3 linked regions of the Lytechinus pictus genome follow. The protein of the gene in region 2 purifies or fractionates together with the protein of the main gene of each other region. This does not show direct contact. Links are inferred from orthologs where the notes say so. Each region holds a gene or a part of one and is shown on either strand. Other genes may lie near its edges.

Evidence for each region. Proteins that work in one complex are often made in the same cells at the same time.
Region 1: the proteins of replication protein A 32 kDa subunit-B-like (region 2) and serine/threonine-protein kinase ATR-like purify together in Homo sapiens (affinity purification with western blotting; 3 studies listed by BioGRID, with this or other methods). This does not show direct contact. The link is inferred for Lytechinus pictus from reciprocal best matches to the Homo sapiens genes RPA2 and ATR.
Region 3: the proteins of replication protein A 32 kDa subunit-B-like (region 2) and DNA topoisomerase 3-alpha-like purify together in Homo sapiens (affinity purification with mass spectrometry; 4 studies listed by BioGRID and IntAct, with this or other methods). This does not show direct contact. The link is inferred for Lytechinus pictus from reciprocal best matches to the Homo sapiens genes RPA2 and TOP3A.

What each region holds. Positions count from the first base shown.
Region 1 is NW_026974140.1:6,100,423-6,108,328, forward strand, and holds the start of serine/threonine-protein kinase ATR-like, read left to right. Parts: upstream 1-4,482; 5' UTR 4,483-4,568; intron 4,569-6,133; 5' UTR 6,134-6,148; coding exon 6,149-6,237; intron 6,238-7,906. UniProt on the Homo sapiens protein: Serine/threonine protein kinase which activates checkpoint signaling upon genotoxic stresses such as ionizing radiation (IR), ultraviolet light (UV), or DNA replication stalling, thereby acting as a DNA damage sensor.
Region 2 is NC_087261.1:4,470,579-4,478,428, reverse strand, and holds the start of replication protein A 32 kDa subunit-B-like, read right to left. Parts: upstream 3,124-7,850; 5' UTR 2,945-3,123; coding exon 2,926-2,944; intron 1-2,925. UniProt on the Homo sapiens protein: As part of the heterotrimeric replication protein A complex (RPA/RP-A), binds and stabilizes single-stranded DNA intermediates that form during DNA replication or upon DNA stress.
Region 3 is NC_087254.1:17,256,657-17,264,451, forward strand, and holds the start of DNA topoisomerase 3-alpha-like, read left to right. Parts: upstream 1-4,371; 5' UTR 4,372-4,468; intron 4,469-6,240; 5' UTR 6,241-6,669; coding exon 6,670-6,819; intron 6,820-7,409; coding exon 7,410-7,543; intron 7,544-7,795. UniProt on the Homo sapiens protein: Releases the supercoiling and torsional tension of DNA introduced during the DNA replication and transcription by transiently cleaving and rejoining one strand of the DNA duplex.

The DNA of each region.
Region 1 (7,906 bases), on a different chromosome or scaffold from region 2:
GTATATAGAAGATTAAACAAATGATTTTCAAGAATTTCAATTTAAACCACTGAATACATTTAGCAAACCTTGGGTTGTGGACTTATTAATATTGATATTAATTGAATTTCCCTTAGACAGCGCCTCATCAAACAAATGCAGTTGGGGTCAGGGAGAGTGGGAGAGACAAAGGGAGAGAGGGTAGAGAAAGAATGGGAGCTGGAGAGAGGGGGGATAGGAAAGGGAAGGAAAAGAAAAGGGATGGGGTAAACAATTCCTGTTTCACCTGCTTCGACAACCTGCTTCCTGTTTCGTTTTTATTTATTTGATTTGATTTATTGATTTCCATTTCACAATTGTACATAATATGATAAACATAACAAGGTCGAAAATACTACAAGACAATATAATAACATAATCATAGATTAAAGGAACACAATTCAGTAAATAAAGTTATCTCAGATGACATTTGTGTTTAAAAGTAAAACGGAGGGTCTTGCCAAAAAAAGCAAAGCTAGTACAAAAGGCAAGCCCCTAACTTAGTTTCATTACAAAATTACAATAAAGAAATATTGGGTCGTAATAATATACAGAAATTTTCTTTAAAAATAAATACAATTTTTGTGCACTTTACATAAACGCAACTGATGGATCGTGTGAGAAAATATATTGTTTTACAATACTAGAGAGGGGGGATGAGGGGGAGAAGACAGGAAAGACAGAGGAGTGCAGTGTACACTAAGTAGAAAGAAAGAAGGCAGGCAGCAGGAGCAGGTACTTTCACTAATTGCAATTTTAAGAAGAAAAAAAATAAAACAAATAATATACATGTCTATATGAGCGCATATAATACACAAAAGCCGAGTATAATTGAAATAGTTATTCAGCTTGACCTGTTTGCAACGAGTATTCCAGAATTAACTTTTTTTTCAGTTTGCATTTAAAAATATTTACATTAGGGGATTCTTTGAAATCTTGCGGCAGAGAGTTCCAATTAGGCAGGCCCGGAGAAGGGGAGAAGACAAATGAATTCTTTGCTAAAGGAAAGTGATAATATTGTCGTTGCCTTGTTGGGTAGCAGTGTACGGATGCATTTTCACGGAACATAGAGAAAATCGCGGGGAGATCGTCCTTGTTTCATTTGAACATAAATTGACTAAGTTCGAAAATATATATGTCACTTACTTTGAGAATGTTATTTTCAAAAAATAAGATATCAGTATGTGATTTAAAGTGTGTTTGAAAAATTATTCTTAGAGCTTTTTTCTGGAGAAGTAATATTCTATTTAGTTGTGTTTGTATTGCACATCCCCAGGCAATTATTCCATAATTAATATATGGTAGAATAAGGGTGTAGTATAATGTTAAGTGCGGGAAGGGAGAACATGTTTGAGTTTATCAATAATTCCAATGTTTCTAGAAATTGTTTTACCTATATACTATCAATATGAGGCTTCCATGATAATTTGTTGTCAATAAGGACACCCAAGAATCTGGTAGTGGAAATATTATTAAGAACGATATCAAAGAAAATACTGTCTGGTAGAGTATTGATTTTTATTGATTTTATTACTGAAAAGCATGCAGTTTGTCTTCTGGTGATTAAGTGAAAGTTTGTTGGCCTTGATCCAATCTGTAACATTTGTTAGTTCAAAATTTACGATTCTAACGAGTTGGTTAATATCATCATGGGAAAAGAAAATATTGGAGTCGTCAGCAAAAAGTATAAACCGTTTAAACAATCATGTTTAATTTATTGAAGATTAGATATTGAAAATTAAACTTTGTTGCTTAAGATTTAAACACTTGTTTAAACTGTTTAAACAATTACTGTAAGCTTCATATAGTAAACAGCGTTGTGCAATTTTTTTTTACTGTGTACGCCAGGATATTATTACCTTGGTTTTAGCCCCGCAGCCTTTTACAGCGCGATGGCATTTCAAGGAATAAATTTTTGCAAGGTACGTACCCATTTACATCACCTCGGTTGAGTGTAGCACAATGTGGATAAATTACTTGCCAAAGGAAATTACGCCATGGCTGGGATTCAAACGCACGACCCTCTGTTTCAAAGTCAGAATACGTTAATCCACATAAATATAGAGTGTATACAAGACATTTGTATTTACTGAATATAATACATTTGTACACTGTACATAAACAACACTGAAAAATGAGTGGATGCTTATGATGAAAGTCAAACATTGTAACCTGGCGCTTATAAACTATAATGTATGTATATATCATATGAAAGAAAAGTATAGTCTCTGTTTTCCATCGAGTTGCAAATTTTTGATTAATGATTATAATTCATAAAGTGTGATAATGCATATTTTTATACCTATTTGTGAACATTGAAGCGTAACTCACAATGCTTCAATGATCATGACCTATTTCTTATTTTTTCTGAGAGATGAGATGACATGCTTTCATTTCATATGAAATTCAAATCCTTTTCACCCGTTTTATTAATTTTGACAGGAAATGAAATATTAAAAATGAATCTGATTACACCCCTGTACAAAAGTCAATGGGACAACAGCAGACAGGGATCAATTCGTTTTATATCGTTTATGAAATCTGAAATATCGACTGGAATATTAAGAACTGTATATCAAATGGGATCAAATGAAAGCATATCATCTCATCTCTCGGAGGAAAAAAGGAAAAGGAAATATACCATGATCAATGAAGTGTTGCGTGCTATGCTTTAATAATCACAGCAAAGTCTAAAAATATACATTGTTGCATATTCATAATCATTCATGCATGACTGATCACTATTTTAAAGTAGTTGCAAAACAAAGGCCATACTTTCTTTTCCATTTTTATATTCATTTTGACAGGAAATGAAATTTGAAAAATTAATCTAATTACACCCATTTACAAAAGTCAATGAGGCAACAGCAGTTAGACATCAATTAATTAAATCGTTTACGAAATCTGTAAAACCGACTTAAATATAAAAAATTGTATACCAATTAAATGAAAGCATCTAATCTTTTGAAAAATAGGAAACTTCATAAAGCTTGCTCATACCCCAAGCATGCCCCAGCGACCATTTAAACTCAGGGGCCGCGGAACGGTTTTCAAAGTGGGGGGGGGGGGGGGCTGATGATGCAAAAAATACAATTGTGTGGTAATTTTTACGTTATTGTACACGTTTTTTTTTTTTAAGTGGGGGTTGAAGCCATCCAGCCCCCCCCCCCCCCCCCCCCCGTTTCTGCGTTCCCTGCGTTCTATTCAAAGTTCTCCTTCTCACCTACAAAACTCTCAATGGCCAATCCCCAAAATATCTTACAGATCTCATTTCCTTATACGCTCTAGTACCTCCTCAAGACCTCTCCGTTCATCGTCTACAATGCAGTTAACTCCTGGACCACGAACCTCTACAAAGTATGGTGACCGCGCTTTTTCTTCAATTGCCCCTTCCCTTTGGAATAAGCTCCAATTTTTTTAATGCCAAATCTGTGAATCAGTTTAAAACCCTACTCAAAACCTACCTGTTTAATAAATGATTCACAGTTGTGGGTCGGTCAATTGGAGGTGCACACCAGTTTTGATTTTTGATTATTAGTATAGTTGTATTAGCTGTGTCATTTTCCCCTGCCACATTTTTTTTTTATACCCAAGTACAAACCACAAACAGAACACAATGCACTTAGAAACACCAGTAGTAGGCGCCAAAATGTTGTGTATTATTATCATTATTATTCCGCGGCCCCTGAAACTAGCTAAAAAGAAGGGCGGGTGGGGGATCTTAGGTTCATTAGGTCTCAAAAATTAAAACTATGATCCAGAAAACTATAGTCTCGCATGAAACCTTTTCTATATGAAGCTGGATATTTTTTGTTTTGAAAATCGTTTTCAGATTAACTCAAAAGTGTAAACATTTTTTAGTGAAATTTTTCAGGAATTTATATTCTTGCAATGTGATATTGGAATTCATATTTTTCTTGAGACTAGCAGGGAACATAAAATTTGGTTCTTTAAAAAGAATATTGATTGTTATTAAAAATTCCTTTAGAATTCATTATCAAGCCAAATTGTGCACTATAACTTTTTTTCAGCTTATTTTAGAAATGTCCAAAGTTCGTAGACATTGATGGATCGGGGCGGGGGGGGGGGGGGCATTTCCGGCCCGCGTGCCCCCTGTGGTGCCCCCCTTGAGAGTTATAGTCATAATTTTTATAGTAAATATGTATTTTATACACAAGTGCGTCCCCCTCCCCCGCTTTTAGAGCCACATCCGAATATTTTTATTGGGAATTTGTCATTTTTTTAATTGGAATATTAAAACCTATTTATTTTTTTATTTATTTTATTTTGCTGTCAAATTATACGCGGGACAAATCGGTCTTCATTTTTTTAGAAAACTTTTTATTGGTCAAATTTTCCTTAGGGAAAATGTGCCCCCAACCTTTTGGGAAAATCTTGGATCTGCGCGCCCCCGACCGGTCTCGAGTTACATTTTTTTTTAATTTTTACTTTTGGACGTTTTAATTCGGCGACACTGTATTGTCGCAAGATTCAACGTAAAGAGCGGTAAAAATGCAAGAAGAAGTTTGGGATTTTCAGAGAGAAAAAGTGTAAGAATACGAAGTTTTACAAATCGCTTTGAATTGATGATAAAAGAGAAAATGATAGATAAGTAGATAGAATTTAGAAGAATAGGTGACACGGAGATTGGAAAATCTAATAATCTTATCCTAGTTTTGCGGTGCCTTTTTTGGTAGTCCCATCTTGTCAAATTCATGTCCAGTTTAACACAACAGAGAGAGAGAGAGAGAGAGCGCCCACGGGCACGGCCCACTCAGTCAAGGTTAGATTTACATGCCGCCGCATAGCTGTACTTATATTTTTCAACAAATTTGACCAGCAAGTCAATGATGTGAATGCCTACTTGCTCTTGTTATGAATCAATTTATACAAATAGATCTACAGGTCATACAGCACGGACATTTCTAAAAACGAAAAAAGTAAACTGGTTACTAATAGTCCTACAATTTTACAAACACTGACAAAACAAAAGAAAAAAGTCAAAATACAGACATCTTGATATTCTTTTTCCTTTTCCTACTCCTAGTCCTAGACCTCTATCTAACATGTCTAACGTTATAAACTAGGCTTATTGAAGAGTTGGGGATCACAGTTATCAGGGTAGGAAATACAATAATATAATTTCTTTCCCAACATTGTGGGGATTGCTAATTTAAACTTAAGTTAAAGCCTAAAGGAGCATTTTCTTTCATTTTAAGAGTTACATTTTTGTGCAACAAGTATTAGTAGTTATGCTGTGAAAGCATTTCTCATTACTCTGCTGTATGTAGAAAATCGGTTCTAAACTTCTTGAAAGTCCATCTTGAATGTTTGTGGTATATCTTTGATGGATATCTTTGAGGATGGTTGCCCCAAAGCCACTCACACGTATTGCGAGGTTAGGGAGGCAGTGTAGCTCAGTCGGTTAGAGCGCCTGTTCCGGAAAAGATCGTAGATCTCAACGTGCGTGGGTTCGAGTCCCGCAGCATGCCGGAAGACGTCTAACAAAAAAAACTGATGCTAGCGTTGTGTGTTAACGTGCCTCACCGCTGTGTTCAGTGCGGGTGTGAATGCAGTTGGAAAACACTCCGTCCATCGGAAAGGACGCAAATGTTGGTCCCGTGTATAGGAGAGTCACAACCTATGCACGTTAAAACCAATACACTATTCGTCAAAGAGTAGGGTGTTCACCCGGTGTATTGCACCTGCCGGTCCCCGGTACTACAATACTGCAAGAATCTTCAGGATTGAAGGAGGCAGTGTAGCTTGAAGAAGTGAAGAAGAAGTATTAGTATACTAACCTCGCACCACGAACCGCGTTTGGCAGTGGATTTCTAACTAGTGGGTCGCGCGTGCTGGGATCTCACTTCATGGGTCCACAACACACGACTTCTATGGCTTGATTTTTCTGTGCGTGGCGGCATGTAATGAACCCTTGGGTGCCCCAAAGCATTCAATTTGGGGGATTTTAGGGGCAACTTGGGATGTCATGAGGGCAAAATCTCACATCGCCCTCATGCATTTCCTACGCTGACAGGTACATGTATGGTTTCCATCATCAGGTATTTAAGATAAAAAAGAATTATTATTTTAAACTTTGTCCCTCTTGTTTCAGATAATGTGAAGAAAGATGGCTAGTTCTGTGCAACAGGATGGAGTGGCTCATCCTGTTCTAGAAGATTTGAAGAAAGAAATCAGCCAACTCGGTAGCATGCAAGTGTAAGTTTATGCTAACATTGATGTCACCAAGCACATTGTAATGATGGTAGGAATAGTCACACGAGGTTTTTCCACAAGTAGTTAGGGGAACAAAAACGAGTTAAGTTTTAGACATTATCAATATCAGGACATTTTCTTTGTGTGAAAATACATCCCTGTAGTGACAACACTGGTAAATGGGACTCAAAATCTCAGAGTCTACCATATTTTCCGGTGTATAAACAACACCTTTTTTCCCGCTTTTAATCTTGAAAAATTGGGTGCGGTTTATCCAAAGAAACAACAAAATTTCATAAGTAAAATGTTTCTTCGGTAGTTAGAGTTAGCAAGAAACCAAGAATTATATACAATATTTAATGTATAATTATTTGTTGGTTACTAAGATTGGAGAGTATATTTTGCGAAGTTTTCTTTGAAAAATCTTCTTTGTAAAGGTTGTTTTATATTATTTATTTAATTACTATCAATTTGATAATGTTTTCCTAAGAAAAACCTGATTGTTTTGTGATAAAAACTTTTTTTTCAGCTAAAAATGCATGGAAAATGCTCTTCAGTAGGCATGTAATCATAATCGATCGTAATCGTAATCGGTTATTTAAAAAGGCAATAAATAATGTCCTTCATTCTTTCTCTCAATATTTTAAAAAATATCCCTTTTTATACCATAATTTTGATATTAAAAAATGCCATTTTATGGTCTCCTTTTCCTTAAAAAAACCCTGGTTGTTTTGTAATGAAAACTTGTAATCGTAATCGGTTAGAAAGCAGGCAATAAATAATGTCCTCTATTCTTCATTTTTTCCCTCAGTTTCTCTCAACATTTTTTGTTCTTTTTCCCTTTTAATCTATAAGTTTGATATACAATACTGCTATTTCATGGTCTTTTTTTCTTTATTCTACAAAGAAATAATTTACATTCTTTGAAAAATAAAGTTAAAGAATGGAGTAACCATTTTTTAAAATACAAAAATTATTAAGATATCTTTTGATCTTTCATAGATTTATATTGAAATTGGCTAACCCAAAATAAAAAAATAAAAAATTTAAAAAATCGGCAAACCAAATTTGATATTATTTTGAAAATAATATCAAATTTGGTTTGCCGATTTTTAAAATTTGTTATTTTTTTAGTAATATCAAATTTGGTTTGCCGATTTTTTAAATTTGTTATTTTTTTAGTCTCTCGATTTTGGGGGTGCGGTTAATACACGGCTGCGGTTTATATTCCGAAAAGTATGGTAGTCATCAATTTCTCAACCTATCATAAGTATAATGTCTTGGACAACCCATATGAAATATGGGCTGTACAGTACATTCCAAGAAAAAATGAAAATTATTGCTGTTTTACCATAATAATGCTGATGATGATGATGAAAATAATATGATAATAATGAGTAATGAATGACTCACATTTCCAAAGCTACATGTAAAATTCTGCTGTGTTATACTTATTTGATGTTTCTCATATGCATTTTATAAAGGAGTGAGTAAAAAAAGTTGAAAAAAGGCACCAATTTGCAAATAGTCATTTGGCAGTCTGTTTCTGAATTTTAACAAGAAGTGTTACATTTCTAAAGATTTGATTTCTGCTCTTAGACAAGTGCTAATCAGTCAGTCGGCAAGCCCTGAAAAAGTAGCTTCTTTTATCCAAGTGGTATTCATGACTAGA
Region 2 (7,850 bases):
TCATGGGTTTGAATCCCAGCAATGAGGTAATTTCTTCAGCAAGAAATTGATCCACAATGTGCCGCATTCAACCTAGGTGAGTAAAATGGGTAGACAGGAATTCCTCAAAAAGCTGTTCACCTGGATTTTGTAGATAAAATGTAGCTTAGCTGGGGTAACATACAACTACTAGTGTCATGTGACAAGGAGGATTATTACTAGGTACTACAGCTATTATTGGAGTAGAGGTTTACAATTTTTGTGCATTCAGAATTTACATGATTTATGATGAGCAGCCAAGAGCTGAAACATTCATGTTCACAACAGTCAACAGGTAATAATTATTCTTCAATCTAAAGCTTATCCACATCGTTGCATAGAGGTCATTCTCAGAAGAGCTTTGCTCCCTTTGCCAGAACACTTGTCTACCAGAGCGTGTGTGTGTGTGTGCATTTGAGTTTTGTCAGACATGTATCTATCAGATATGATTATTTGCGTCTGGGACCGACCTTAACGTCACCATCCGAAAGACGTGACCAGGGCTCAAACCTCGAACCTATGCATCAATTTGTAACTAATTTGTAGCTTGGATTACAGGCACACGCAACAACGCCCAGTTGAGCTTCTTCCCAGATTCAATAAGACTTAAGAACTCTCTCCCTTTTCACTATTCTGGCGTGCTGTTTCCCCTATCAAGAGGGGGATTCAAGCAGCAGACTCTAATCAAAGAGGGTGAGGTAGCCAGTAGAGGCGTGGTCAGAAAATTGGGATCGTCCCAGTTTACAGGGGAAAATAGATAGTGAACTGTGGGGAATTGAGGTCACTTGACGTAATCTATTTTTACTGACGCGCGTGTCTGTAAAGTTGGGGAAGAACAATATAGGAAACAAGATGGCGGCGTAAACATCGGGCGAGTCTCCCCCGACTTTTCATTTTTTTAAGCATACGTTAGTAAATGATTTTAATCTCTAGAAGCCTCCTGGCTTTGTGTAGCAAACCGCGCGATTTGTGTACTGTCGCCAAGCGAAAGACAATGAAATCAAGAAGGCGACGTAAACACGGTGGCAAGTTTTCTGTCTTTTATTACATTTTTCTTGTTTTTTGTCTTGAATTGTTTAAAAATGAAATCAATATCGTAGAAATGTCGGAAATGAAGTTGTATCCCATGTACATGACTTAGGGCTAACTTGATCTTTTAGAAGGAAAGTAGAAATCTCGGGGGCATACGTTAGTAAATCATTTGGCCATTCCGTGCTTTTGGGAACTGGTCACCAAATCGAATTTGTACCTCCTTTTACCACGACATGTAAAGAAACTTCGCTTCAGCGATTTTGAAAAGAATTGATGCGAGAGGCTTTGTTGACGATGCGAAGCTCCTCACACAACTGGTAACCTCTTTCCTCATGCGATATTTATCGGGCTCAGTTACCCATGGGTGGACAAGTTTTCAGATGACATCGATGATTCCGCTGAATTATAATTTTTGTAATTATATCCATCTACCCCGCATTTCCCTGCTCTTCAAGACCACTCTGCCACTTTCACAATGTTGAAAAAAAATGATTACAAAATTGATTTACTAAAAATCACAAACAAGATATATATGGGGATGAATCACTTTAATAAACTCTATATCTACTCGTGAAAATGGGAACCAGCAAAATGGGAACCAGCATAGCTGGTTCCCATTTTCACGAGTAGATAAAGACAGTTTACTAGTAATCTGTATTTATCTACTCGCTGAAATGGGAACCAGCGTGTACAACTCTATGGAGAATTTTTCACGCTGGTTCCCATTTTGGCAAGTAGATTAAACTAGTTTACTCTACTCGCTGAAATGGGAACTAGCGTGTACAACTCTATGGAAAATTCCCCATAGCGTTGTACGCACTGGTTCCCATTTCAGCAAGTAGAGTAAACTAGTTTAATCTACACTTTAAAATGGGAACCATCTAAGAAAATTCTCCTGAATTATACATGCTGGTTTCCATTTTCACGAGTAGATAAAGACAGTTTATTAGTCAGATTTATTTCGTCAGAATCATCACTGACGAAATAAATCTCATTGGCAATCTCTCTTTATATATTATCTACTCTTCAAAATGGGAACCATCTAAGAAAATTCTCCTGAATTATACATGCTGGTTCCCATTTTCACGAGTAGATAAAGACAGTTTATTAGTCAGATTTATTTCGTCAGAGAATCATCACTAACGAAATAAATATCACTAGTAATCTGTCTTTATCTACTCGCTGAAATGGGAACCAGCGTGTACAACTCTATGGAGAATTTTCCACGCTGGTTCCCATTTTGGCGAGTAGAGTAAGCTAGTTTACTCTACTCGCTAAAATGGGAACCAGCGCCTACAACTCTATGGAAAACTCCCCATAGAGTTGTACACGCTGGTTCCCATTTCAGCGAGTAAACTTGTTTACTCTACTCGCTAAAATGGGAACCAGCGTGTACAACTCTATGGGGGAGTTTTCCACGCTGGTTCCCATTTTGGCGAGTAGAGAAAAGACAGCGACGAAATCAATCTTTCTGATCTAACTAAAATAGTAAGAGTAGACTAAGTCACTAACGTTAAGCTCTTTGAAGGATTCGATTTATTTAGAATCAGCGCGCCAGCTGAGCTGCGGTGAAGCAGTGAGCAAGCTCGAAAAGATAGGTGGGTCATGTCTTGTCGTGAAAAAGTGTCCTGTGGAAATTAGGAACTGGTTCCCAATTTCACGATAATGCCAATCATTTTTACTCAGTCTCAGTCTAACGTTAAAACTCTTAAGTCTAAAGTCTAAGCTCTCTAACTAAGTCTAAGTGAGAGCACACACACTCACACACACGACTGCACATTCAAATTTCAATTGACAGACTCGATCACGAGAGGAGAGATAAGAATTAAGATATATTTCACGATAATTATGAATTAAGGCCGACGGTGTAATTACCTCCTTGGTTGTTGAACATATTCGAAGAGAAGTCTCGATCCAAATATTAATAATTATTTACAGAGAAGGAACTCTTCTTTTTCCGATTGGAAACAGTGTGGTTGCAATTTACATTCACAGAACCGTACCCGTTCACAAGTACAATTTGGAGACGGCGCGCCAGAATCTTGGTATTGACCAATCAGAGGGCTTGTTGTATATCGGGAATACATGAAGCGAGCGAAATCGGCCTGCTACGAACGCGAATCACCCACTGCATGCTTTATGCACGGCCGGTTGAGCAAGACAAGGAAGTCATGAGAAATCACCCGGGGAATCACCTCGGGATTTTGTTTGTTTGTTTTTATTTTGTTTTTTCTCCAGCGTTGGGTAAAACCATGGAGGTAGAAGCCAGTTCTTTGTATGCGTTTACTAATGACATACCGTACATTTAAGATGGATATTCATGAACAGGGGCCGCGGGGGGGGGGGGGGGGGTGCATGGGCTTCAGCCCGCCCTCCCCCATTTTTTAAATCCAAAACCGTGTACAAAAACGTAAAAATGACCATACGATTGTGATTTTTTGCATGGTCAGCCCCCCCCCCCCCCACTTTGAAAACCGTTCCGCGGCCCCTGATGAAGTAAATTTGAATAACGAAATATGGGGGGGCATAGGCCTATTACGTACGTGTAGCCTAGCTAGGGTTGAAATATCTGGTGTACTCCCCGGGGGGGGGGGGCGCTCGACCAAAAAATTGGTAGGTGTGTGCCGCGGGCGAGACAAAAACCGGGGACCTTGGAGCGGACTTATTGTAAAAAGGAGGGTCCTCGGAGCGGGCTTCGGAACTACAAATGCTTGTGAAAACGGGGGTCCTTAATTGGAACGGGTTCGCGCAGAGGCGATGGTCGGACAGCGCTCAGCGGCCGCTTTTCACCAAAATGGCAGCTCATTGTGGCGGATCAATGCGACCGGAACGGCGTAACGAAAAATATGCGAAGCTTTGTAGCGGATTTCTTTCTTCTTTTCTTTTCTCTCGATAAGAAGAAAATGCTATGCTTTTCGGAGCGGCTTTCTTATAGTTCTTTTTCTTAATAAGATGAAAATGCTATGCCCTGGAACGGAAATTTGAGTTTAAAAATGGGGGTCCCCTCCGCGGCACATACCCACTATGCATTAGTGAGTGCCCCCCCCCCCCCCCCCCCGGTGTACTCCTAGCTATTAGAAGTCTAGAATCCGGAAATCATACAATGTATAAAATTGCCCAAAATATAAATCTTGGTTTTCGTTTACAAAAAGACATATATTTTGATAGAGAGAGAGAGAGAGCGCGGGGAGGAAAGTTGTTTTGTCCAAATCTGTCACAAAATTATTATCACAAAGACAAGTGTGTGAGTGTGTGTGTGTGTTTTCCATCGATCGCTTCGCCCCTTCCAGCTTCTCAGAAATTCTGCCATGTCTGCAGATCGACCCCCTCAAAAGTTTTCGCTCATTTCACCGATGGGGCGAGATGGGCCCGGGATGGGCAAAGTGCAAGCAATAGGGGCACAGGCATGGCCCTGCAGCCTGCCGGGGTACTTACGTGCTTATTAAGCACCCAAAAAATTATTTTGGGGTGTTGCGTGTATAATTCTTCATAGGCAGCTTCCCCAGGTATTCTGGAAGCTGATATGTGAACAAAATTGAAAAATGTAACCAAAGTGACCTTGATTTTTAGTGTAGTGAAACCCCTTGTTTGTTTTTATTGTATTGTTTTCAAATTTCTCGATCGGGACCAATTTGACTTCCATTTTGTATTGAATCCTTTTTTCTTTCTTTCTTTCTTTCTTTTCAAATTTACATCAGCACCCCCAGTAAAAAAAATCGCACGGCCCTCAGGGCACATGCAAAAAAACCGCCCTGGAAAAGAAAGCCAAATAGGTAGAAAAAGTTATCTAAAGACTTTTAACTCTTACTTGCAGCTAGCTACCTTATAATAATTATTTATGTGGAGGGGGCAATATTATATAAGCACCTAAGCTGCCCTGGACGCCAAGTTTCTGAGCTACAGGTCATATTAATATGCCCACGTCGGGGTGCGCCGAAAAAAAAATGTCAAGTAAAAAAGTGGGCCGTGAGCATAGGCGTCATTGCCCAACTATTGGCACCAAAGGGGTCCCATAGCCCCGCCCCCCCCCCCCCCCGCCTCGATAAAAAGGGGGAAATCGGAGAAAGGAGAGATGATGAACGGAAGGCAAAGAATGGAAAGAGAGGAAGAAATAAAAATAAGGCCGCGGGACATGCAGGGAGAGGGTCAAATATATTTCCAATTAATATATTGAAATCGAAAGTGAGACAAAGAAGTGAGATAGAGAGAGGGAGAGAGAGGCAGAGAGAGAGGGGAGAAATTAAAGAGAAAGAGAGGAAGGGAAACGGAGAGGCGAAGAAAAGAATATGGGGGGAAAGGGGAGAGTTGTATAAAATACAGAACAGCCTAAGAGGTGGATATAGGAGGACAATGTTTGTTTTATTTGTCGTTTTATTAAACAGAGAACCCCTTTCAATTATAAAAACTGCTCGACCAAGGAGACCTGTATAAACACACATCTAAAAACATGACAAAACAATAATACATGTAATAGTAAGCCATAATAATCAATGAGAAAGAACAAAAAAAAGTAAAGGCTATTATTATTTTTTTTCATTCCTATAATTTCCAACAAAACAAGATATTTCTGATAAAAATTAGTTATGTTTTTCTATGTGATATAGATCAGTGGGTGCTATACACAAGCTAGGGTCGGCCACCGGTCAATCATGATATTTGAAATATTGGGGGGGGGGGGAGGACGGAGAAAGGGAATTAGGAAACGAACAGATAAGAAAAAAGACCTTCAAAAAGATAAATATTGTTCGCTAGAAATTAATATGAAGGCCTTTGAGGCTACCTTTTCTATGATTCAAGGATTAAGGACTATCATATAGGGGGACTATATCGATGTGTAGGAATTTAGATCTAAGTCACTATAAACAAAGTCAGTGAACAATAAAGGCCTACAACTGTACAATGAATTTGGTTCTTTCTGAACCCGAAAACAACAATAATATAGGCCATGTCACCTTTTCGGTATATCGGCCCACTTGCCGACCATGATTGGTACTTACTATACTAATTAGTACGTACTCAATAAGGCGCTCGTCCTAACCATTGGCGGCGGAAGCAAACAAATTTAGGGGGTCCACCTGAAATTTTTGAAAAAATTGACAAGCTTATTGACAAGTTTCGGATCAACAGAAATTGTATGGGGGGGGGTCCCCCACCTCAAATCTAGGGGGGACACGACCCCCGCCCCCCCCCCTTCTGCCGCCTATGGTCCTATAACCCCGGCCAAGCTCGTCTACCGATTCCGGTGCTCACAATTATTTGAGATTATTGTCTTAACTGCCAATTAACCTCACCTGGGTTGAGTACAGCACATTGTGAATACATTTCTTGTTGAAGGAAAATTACGCCATATTATAGCCATCAGGGCCCTGCGTGGGAACGATTTTTTTTACAGGAGGGGGGGGTGATGTAAATTTGAAAAGAAAGTGGAAAAAAGGTTTTGCCCCCCAAAAAAGTTTTCACTAAAATAATAAGGGGGCATTTTTGGTACATTTTTCCATGTTTACAAATCTTCAAGAATACCCGGGGGTGCTGAGTGTGAAAAATAATACACGCAGCACCACCAAGGAAACTTTTGGGGTACTAATTCACCACCCCGCTTCCCAGGGCCAGTCATAGCTAGGATTCGAACCCACGACCCCGGTGTTTCAAAGTCCGAAGACTAATCCACTAGACCACAACGCTCCACAAAAAGGACAAAGATAAGGACTCTTATGGGAAACCCTTTTTTCACCCTCGATCTCAATTGAACCCTTATCGAGATAATTACAATTTCTCATACATGTACAAAATGAAATACACATCAATATGATAAATGAACGAAAATAATTATATTGTAGGCCTATTATCGTGACAAAATTTGTACAATATAATGGATGAATAATCCATGAATACAAACAGAAATCAATTAATTTCACTTGCACGTGTAGCCCTCATCACAAAAAATAGAACAATGAGACAAAGACAACATGATCAATGAGAGCTCGAATGGCGAGCTGATCTTCGATCATTGGGTTCAGTTACTCCAGTATAAGCACTTTTTGTCATTTATCTAACTAAGTGAATAATGCGACCGCGAAGCGCCTGCTAATTTCTGAAAAGAACCGTTATGCATAAACAGGGCCGCGGAACGGTTTTCAAAGTGGGGGGGGGGGGGGGGGGGGCTGAGCCAAAAAATCACAATCATATGGTCATTTTTACGTTTTTGTACATGGTTTTGGAAAAAAGTGGGGGGCTGAAGCACCCCCAGCCCCCCGCTTCCGTGGCCCCTGCTAAATAATCTTTTAGGAGGGCAAATAAATTCAGACCTGCCCGAACATTTTGAGCATCATGTTATCCTCATAATCTAATTTACAGATGAATATTAATTAGTGCGGAGCAAGAAACCGAGCTAAAGTTTTTGTTTGTAAATTTATTATTTTAGCTTCCTTTCCATTTCCCCCACCTGGCGCAAAGATGGTGTTGGGGGCTGGGGCCATAGACCCCCACATTTTTCACGATCAAGAAAATAATAGAGAGAAGGGTGAAATGTAATATCATTTTCTGAACGTTATATCAAAATCTATCACAAAATTAGATTTTTGTCAAAAAAATGTCTTCGCTCGATTGCAACTTTTTGCCAATTTTGCACGTCTGGCGCCCCCTCAAAACTTTTGGCTCATATCATGCCAATGATATTCCCTTCATAGTCATTCCTTTTTCCTTGGCAATAGTTCTAATTCTTCCTTTATTTTTTCTTCCGCTCCCTTATTTAATGGCCAAGCTAGGGCTCTTATTTTGGGGGCGAAGTCGCCTGGGCCCCT
Region 3 (7,795 bases), on a different chromosome or scaffold from region 2:
CCTGTGCAAGTTTCAGGTCACATGATCAAGGTCAAAGGTCATTTAGGGTCAATGAACTTTGGCCAAATTGGGGTATTTGTTGAATTACAGCCATAAATTTGAAAGTGTGTTGGTCTAGTTCATAAAACTTGGACATAATCAGGGGCGGAAATCTCTCCCAAAAGGTAGGGGGGACATAGGGGCGGATCCAGCCTGCGCCAATAGAGGGGGGGGGGGGAATTTGTTTCAGCCATATTTTCCCCGATCGGCAGCACGAAGATGATTTTTGTTTGTTTCTTTGAAGGGGTAGTCCTCATGAGTCACTTCTTAGCTTTATTCTTATAAATTAATATATAATATCATAATCCTTATTTATATGATGCGAGCGCGAAGCGCGAGCTATTTTTTTTGGAAATTTTATGTATTTTTTCCTAAAATTTGAACTGATTCTGGGCAATGTTTGTTATCCTGAAAAAGATGTGTATGCAACTAAATAATTACTACGAACGCAACGCGCGAGCAGAATGAACTGATGGAAAAGATACCTGTTAAAGTAGCATTTGTCAATCAAATAATGCGAGCGCGAAGCGCAAGCTGAATTTTTTTTGACATTTTCACCTAAAGAATGGAAATTCTAAGCACTTTTTGTAATTCAAGCAGAATAGGTATATAAGTAAACAATTAATGCGAGCACGAAGCGCAAGCGGAAAAGTTTGACATTTAGTCCTATAATAGTTTTGTAAATCCTGAAAAGGATGAGTATTAATAATGCGAGTGCAAAGCGCGAGCAGAAAATTTTTATATACGTTTTGAACTGGTACCTGTTGAAAAGGTACCTGTGAAGGACTGCTTGCACTTAGCCATGAAGGCGTTACATATTCCAACAATAAAAAAATGCGAGCGCGAAACGCGAGCTGAAATTTTTTTGAACTTTCTAAAGAAAGAATGGAAAATTTTAATCAGTTTTTGTAATCGTGAACAGGATAACTATATAATTTAACGATTGATGCGAGTGCGAAGCGCGAGCAGAATTTTCTTCGAGATTTAGACCTAAAAATGGGCCACTCTGTTCATGTTTTGTAAATCATCAAAAGTATGAGTAATATGGAGTCTTTCTACATTAATAATGCGAGTACAAAGCGCGAGCAGAAAAAAATTGATATTGTGATCTGAAACTGGATAATGATTTAAATTAGAGAACAAGTTGAGTATCTGAATAAACTTGCGCGAGCGTGTTTCATATTTAGACCTAGAATCTAGGCATTCTAAATACAACTTTAATCATGAAAATCATGAAACTTTGATATTCCGATCTGAAAAAGAGTCAATTTCAGCTTTATATTTGAAGCACTTTGTAGAAAAATTGTAAGGTAGATATGGATCGCACTAAAAAAAGAGCTGATATTATTATTACTTTGAGTTTTGACATAGGACCGGGACATCCTTACGACATGTCATCATATGAAAATGATGACTATCTTCCTATTCCTCTTGCTAAGCGCGAGATGAAAGAAAAGGGACAATTTAATTATTAAATTAATATCATATTTATTAATGCCTAATGAAGGCGCGAAATCTGATGATATCATGGCATAAAAACTGGACATTTCACTTTTTTTTATTATGAATAGGATGCATCAGTTAATATATTTTTAACCATTAATGCGAGCGCAAATCGCGAGCTAAAATTTTTGATAAACTGTCATGAAAGGGGGATTTTAAGCAGTTTGTTGTATAATCAATATTGAAACATTTATATAACTCGCCAATCAAAATGCGAGCGTACAGCGCGCTAGCTGATACGTCTTGACAATCAGACCTGAAAAGGGATATTTTGACAACTTTATGGAATACACGAAAATAATAGGTACCTGATAAATCAAAATTTGCGAGCGCGCAGCGCAAGCAGCAAATGTTAACATTCTGACCATAAAACTGACATTTTTACAGAGCACTTTTTAAAAACCAATTTGTAAATTACACAAATTAATGAAAGTTCGATTTCCGAGGTGAAATATGTTTTGTATGTTGACTTCCAAACTTGATATTCGAACTCCATATTGAACAAGATATGTAAATCACCTAACAGGCAATGCGAGCGCGAAGCGCGAGCGAAAATTTTATATAGTGGCACGAAAGATTATTTTTGTTTTCCAAGTCTTCCCCTCATCTTATGTTATGCACTCGTAGTCCTTCTTTTCTTTTTCTCCTCTCTTTTCCCTCCTTTTTTCCTTCTTTCTTTCCCTTTTTTTTTGCTCCGCCAAGAGGGGGGGGGGGGGGGGGCGGGCCCCTCGGCCCCCTAGATCCGCCTATGGGGACAAGGGGCGGGACAATTTGACAAGCAAAAAAAAGGTTATCATCGCCAAAGTAAGGTCATCTCTTCCCAAAATACATGTTTTATTTTTATTTAGAATAATGTATTTCTTACCATGATAAAAGACCAAAAAATAGTAGGGGGGACATTTGATATTGTGTCCCCCCTAATATTTTGAGTAGGGGGGACACGTCCCCCCTGTCCCCCCTGGGATTTCCGCCCATGGACATAATAGTAATCAAGTATCACTGAACATCCTGTGCGAGTTTCAGGTCACATGATCAAGGTCAAAGGTCATGTAAGGTCAAATAACTTTGGCCACGTTGGGGGTATTTGTTGAATTGCCATCATATATATCTCTATAAGTGTATTGGTCTAGTTCATAAAACGTGGAAATAAGAGTAACCAAGTATCACTGAACATCTTGTGCGAGTTATAGTAGTTTTCAAAATCAGCACTGCTGCTATATTGAATCGCGTGATGCAGGTGAGACGGCCAGAGGCATTCCACTTGTTTATTTTGGTTATTCCATTTTACTTGGGTCATTTCATTTCTTTTACTTTTTATTTTTGTTATACGGGCTATTCCTTTTTAGTTGGGTTTTTCCATTATTTAGATCATTATTTTAGTCCCTTTTATTTGGGTTATTCCATTTTATTTGGGTTATTCCATTTTCCTTTTACTATTTATTTTTGTTATCGGGGCTATTCCATTTTAGTTGGGTTATTCCATTATTTTAAATCATTATTTACGTCGTTTTTACTTGGGTTATTCCATTTTATTTGGGTTATTCCATTTTCTTTTTACTATTTTTTTTTGTTTTCAGGGCTATTCCATTTTAGTTGGGTTATTCCATTATTTAAATCATTATTTTAGTCCTTTTTTATTTGGGTTATTTCATTTACTTGGGTTATACCAATTTCTTCTTACTATTGATTTGTACTTGTCTTTTTACTATTCATTTTTGTTATCTGGGCTATTCCATTTTAGTTGGGTTATTCCATTATTTAATCATTATTTACGTCGTTTTTACTTGGGTTATTCCATTTTATTTGGGTTATTCCATTTTCTTTTTACTATTTATTTTTGTTTTCTGGGCTATTCCATTTTAGTTGGGTTATTCCATTATTTAAATCATTATTTTAGTCCTTTTTTATTTGGGTTATTCCATTATTCTAGTCCTTTCTTATTTTGGTTATTCCATTTTATTTGGGTTATTCAATTTTCTTTTTATTATTTATTTTTGTTATCTGGGCTATTCCATTTTAGTTGGGGTTTTTCATTATATAAATCATTCCATTTTATTTGGGTTGATCTATTTTCTTTACTATTTGTTTTTGTTATCTGGGCTATTCCATTTTAGTTGGGTTATTCCATTATTTAAATCATTTTGGTACTTTTTTATTTAGGTTATTCCATTATTTAAATCATTATTTTAGGCCTTTTTTATTTGGGTTATATTCCATTATTTTAGTCCTTTTTTTTATTTGGGCTATTCCATTGTACTATATCTGACTTCACTTTTGGTTAAACTCATAATTTCTATAAAAATTTAGGTATCATAGTAAAATATTACATTCGTTCATGTACAAATTGATGAAGTTACAGAACTATAGCTCCTGCGCACTTCAGTTTTTTAGCTTAACTTATGAATAATTCATGTACCATAGCACCCCTAGCGTTTCCATGTAGGCCTATACGGAAAAAATAATCGCATCTCGGCCGCCACCCCCACCACAATTAGTAATAATAACAAACATAATAATTATAATAATAGAAAGAACAACAACAATAATAATAATAATAATGAAGATGATAATAATAAGCAATAATTATATATATTTTTAAATCTTTAAAAATATATAGCCACAGGGTGTTGCAAATTGGCACAAAACAACCTTCAGTATATTACCGGTAGTGTAAATTATAATTTACACTAATAATGATTAATATGTAAAATAAGTTAATCAAAAGTGTTCAATATATATAATACAGTTTTTGTATTATTATCTATTTTTTAAATCTACTTTATTTATCAAAAACATCAATAATTTCAGATTAGAGGTATTATTTTGAGTAATCATGAAATAGTAAATGGCGGCTTAATCAAATGGTGAAGACTACGGTACCGAAGACTACACTGCAGCTCTCGCTCGGTCTCATACGGAGATACCGGTAATGTTTGATTGGGTTTTAACACTTTTGCCATCAATTTATCAGTTATTCAAGATGTTATTACAATGGTATTTAAAGAGGATTAGTCTACCTAAGTCACGTCAAGACGTCTCGTAGGCAGCTAAGTTGAATTGAATCCGACCATCGCATCGCGCGTTACTATCTGCGGCGGCCGGCGCCGGTGTACCGGTACCTACGCGTCGAACGTCCGTAGCCGGGCGAGCTAGGCGTGGGCCGTACTCCGGCTCGGCAGCCCGTACACAAAGTGGCGACTTCCCCGGGGCTAGTGTAGTCTGCTGTGCAAACCCTTAATTCACTCGAGAATACGTATGGACTATGGTAGGGTGTCCTAAAGCAACGCCACACTCATCGCGCATGCAGTTTTCAATGGCAAATGAGTCTGTGTGTGGTCACTGTGGAACTGTGACTGCAGTGCTGCAGTGCAGAGCCAGAGACAGAGTCAGAGAGTGACGAACAATTCCTACAACTACAAGTACAGACTACAGGTCAGGTGTATTCATTTTTTTTCAACAGAGCCAGTGCCCAGAGGCTGCAATAAATCTCTAACAAGTTAAATGCAGAGAAAACCAACAACTGTTTGGAATTTCGGAGTTATATTCGCTTTATTTCATAATCATATATCCTCAGATCCTATAATAATGTGAACATATTTTAGAAATTGAAGCACCCCCACAGGAAATACTAATTTTTTGCATGATAAATCGAGTGCGTTGCTTTAGGACCCCGGTTCTACATCAGGCGGCGAAATCAAGTCCGTCCATTAACTTTTCCTTGTAAGTGCAATAACTTAAGTTAGGCTCATATAATTTGGTGTGTATGATGCTAGCATGGTCATGGATCCAAGGAAGCCTATTGATTTTGAGGTCAAAAGGTCAAGATCACAGTGACATACTTTCATCTTACCCTTCTGAAGTCCTTGTAAATGTGATAACTTTAGTTTAACTTAACCTAGGCTCATATAATTTGAATGTGTATGATACTAGCTAGCATAGATCCCAGGAATTCTATTGAGTTTGAGGTCAGAAGGTCAAAGGTGAGGTCGCCACCTTCCACTTTTCTTGCTTGACCAATAACTCAATTTTCCGCGTTGCAGGCGGGCATATTATGTGCTGGCCTTAGCGTTACTCTTGTTGTTCCTACTAGACCTTCAGTGCCAGTGGCCGTTGATGTAATATTGTTATAGTAGGACTTTTCCACACCCCAATGATCTAGGTATCCCATATCCTTTTTGTTCGGCCCTCTCATTCACAGTGGGCCTGTAACAAGGTTGATGAGCTGCTAGTTACTATTTTTGATGTCGGGAAAGATCAAGAAAGAGCACGGCCATGATGAGATGTATGGTGATAACACTCTAGCTATTTGTAAATACCTTGGGAGATAAGAAAAGATAAAAGATGAGAATATTTTCAGAATACAACTTATCTCATTCATGCATAATTATTTTCTTATCTTTTAGCATGCTCGGGTATTAGATCTACATGAGCAAGTATACTTACCACTGGTTGAAAATCCAGAAAAGATAGGGAAAAGAATAACGTGTCCTTCGTAGGAATTGATTGCCATTTGTATTGAATTTATTACCAACATTTTTTTTTTTTTTAAACTTATCAACTATTAACTTGGTTTCATAGTTGGTTATTGAGAATACATGAAGCTCTCCATATAGATGACACTTCTTGACCTGGAAGTTCTGAAGAATGTCCATGGTGTTCCTTTTACCCAATGTCCTTTTCCTCTTACGATATGTGCAGGAATTCTGATGTCTGGACATGTTTGTATGGAATATGCAATGGATTTCTATTTCTCCAAAGTATTTACCTTGATTTACCTTGATGTTGGGCATAAAGTATAGGAGACTTATTTGCCCCTCTGCATCTTCTTAGAACTTGTCCTCAGTTATATGGCAAGATCAAAGTCCTTCCGTCAACAAATCTTGTGCATCCGCAAGCAACTTAGTCTGTTATGGAACCTGTATCGCTTTTAATTTGTCAGGATTCGTGGTACAGTGATCTGTGAAGGCAATACATTTCCAGTATTTTACTTCTACAAATTGCATTGGAATGCATAGAAGACAAATGAAATGATAAATTCCACCACCGAACAGTCCGCGTGAGCTGGGGTACATTGTAGTTGGCAGAATTATTTGGGTTATACCTGGACATTTAAGGATTTCCCATCCAATGTTAATTTGGACGAATTGCTTGAGGATATCTTTGTGCACCTACCTCACTATGGCACGGGGACATGCAACCAAGGTTCTGAATGTAGCTGAGAAGAATGATGCTGCCAAGTCAATTGCTGATGTCATGTCTAGGGGCAGATACAATAGGGTAAGTTTACAAAATCTTCTTTTTTTTTTTTTACTTTTACAACAATTGATGAATCAAATGGATTAGATTTTTTTATTTCCTGATAAGTTTCAATGATTTCAATCTAAGCCAAATATTTATGAATTGCCAATAGCAAAATGTACTTTATCAAAGGTATTTGGCCTAAATTAGTTGCATACATGTAAATGTTATTCTAATGGTAATTATACCATAATGGTAACTTCATCATTAAGGGTAAATTTCATGGAATCCTTAATTCACTGATTGTCTTTTGAGCATTGTTACCATGGAACATATAGTTACCATCAGATGGCTAAACAGAAAACATTGAGAAGTGAAAAAAAAAATTGTTTCGACATTTAAAAATCTGCTTATGAGGAAAATTCTTTTAATGACCAGCCAGAGTTAATTGATGAAATTAACTTCATGAATTGAATTTTTCATCTTTTGTGGATATTTCTATTCAGATGAAATCAATTTTCATGGTATTTTTCATAAATCTGTCAATACATACATACAATAAAAGCACACATTTTTAATTTCTCTTTCACAATGTTCTTGGATTAATCATTTTTTAATTCTTTTTTTAGAGAGAGGGTTTCTCAAAGTTCAACAAGATATATGAATATGACTACAGTCTACTGAATCAACAATGTGAAATGACCATGACATCTGTCTCGGGGCATCTCTTGAACTATGAATTTGCTCTAGCCTATCAGAAATGGTAAGACTTTGATTTTAAACTGTAAAAGTAAACTCTTTTTGTTACCTCTTTGTATAATTAAAATAATCAGCACCTCCAGGATAGATTTCATGGAATCCTTGATTTATTGATTGGCTTTTGAGCAATGTTTCCATGGTACATGTACCATTAGATAGCAAAAAAGAAACTTATTGAAAAGTGATTTATGATTGATTGTGGAAAACATTAGCTTAAAATAGCATAGAAATAACGATCAGGTTCGATTTGAATTTG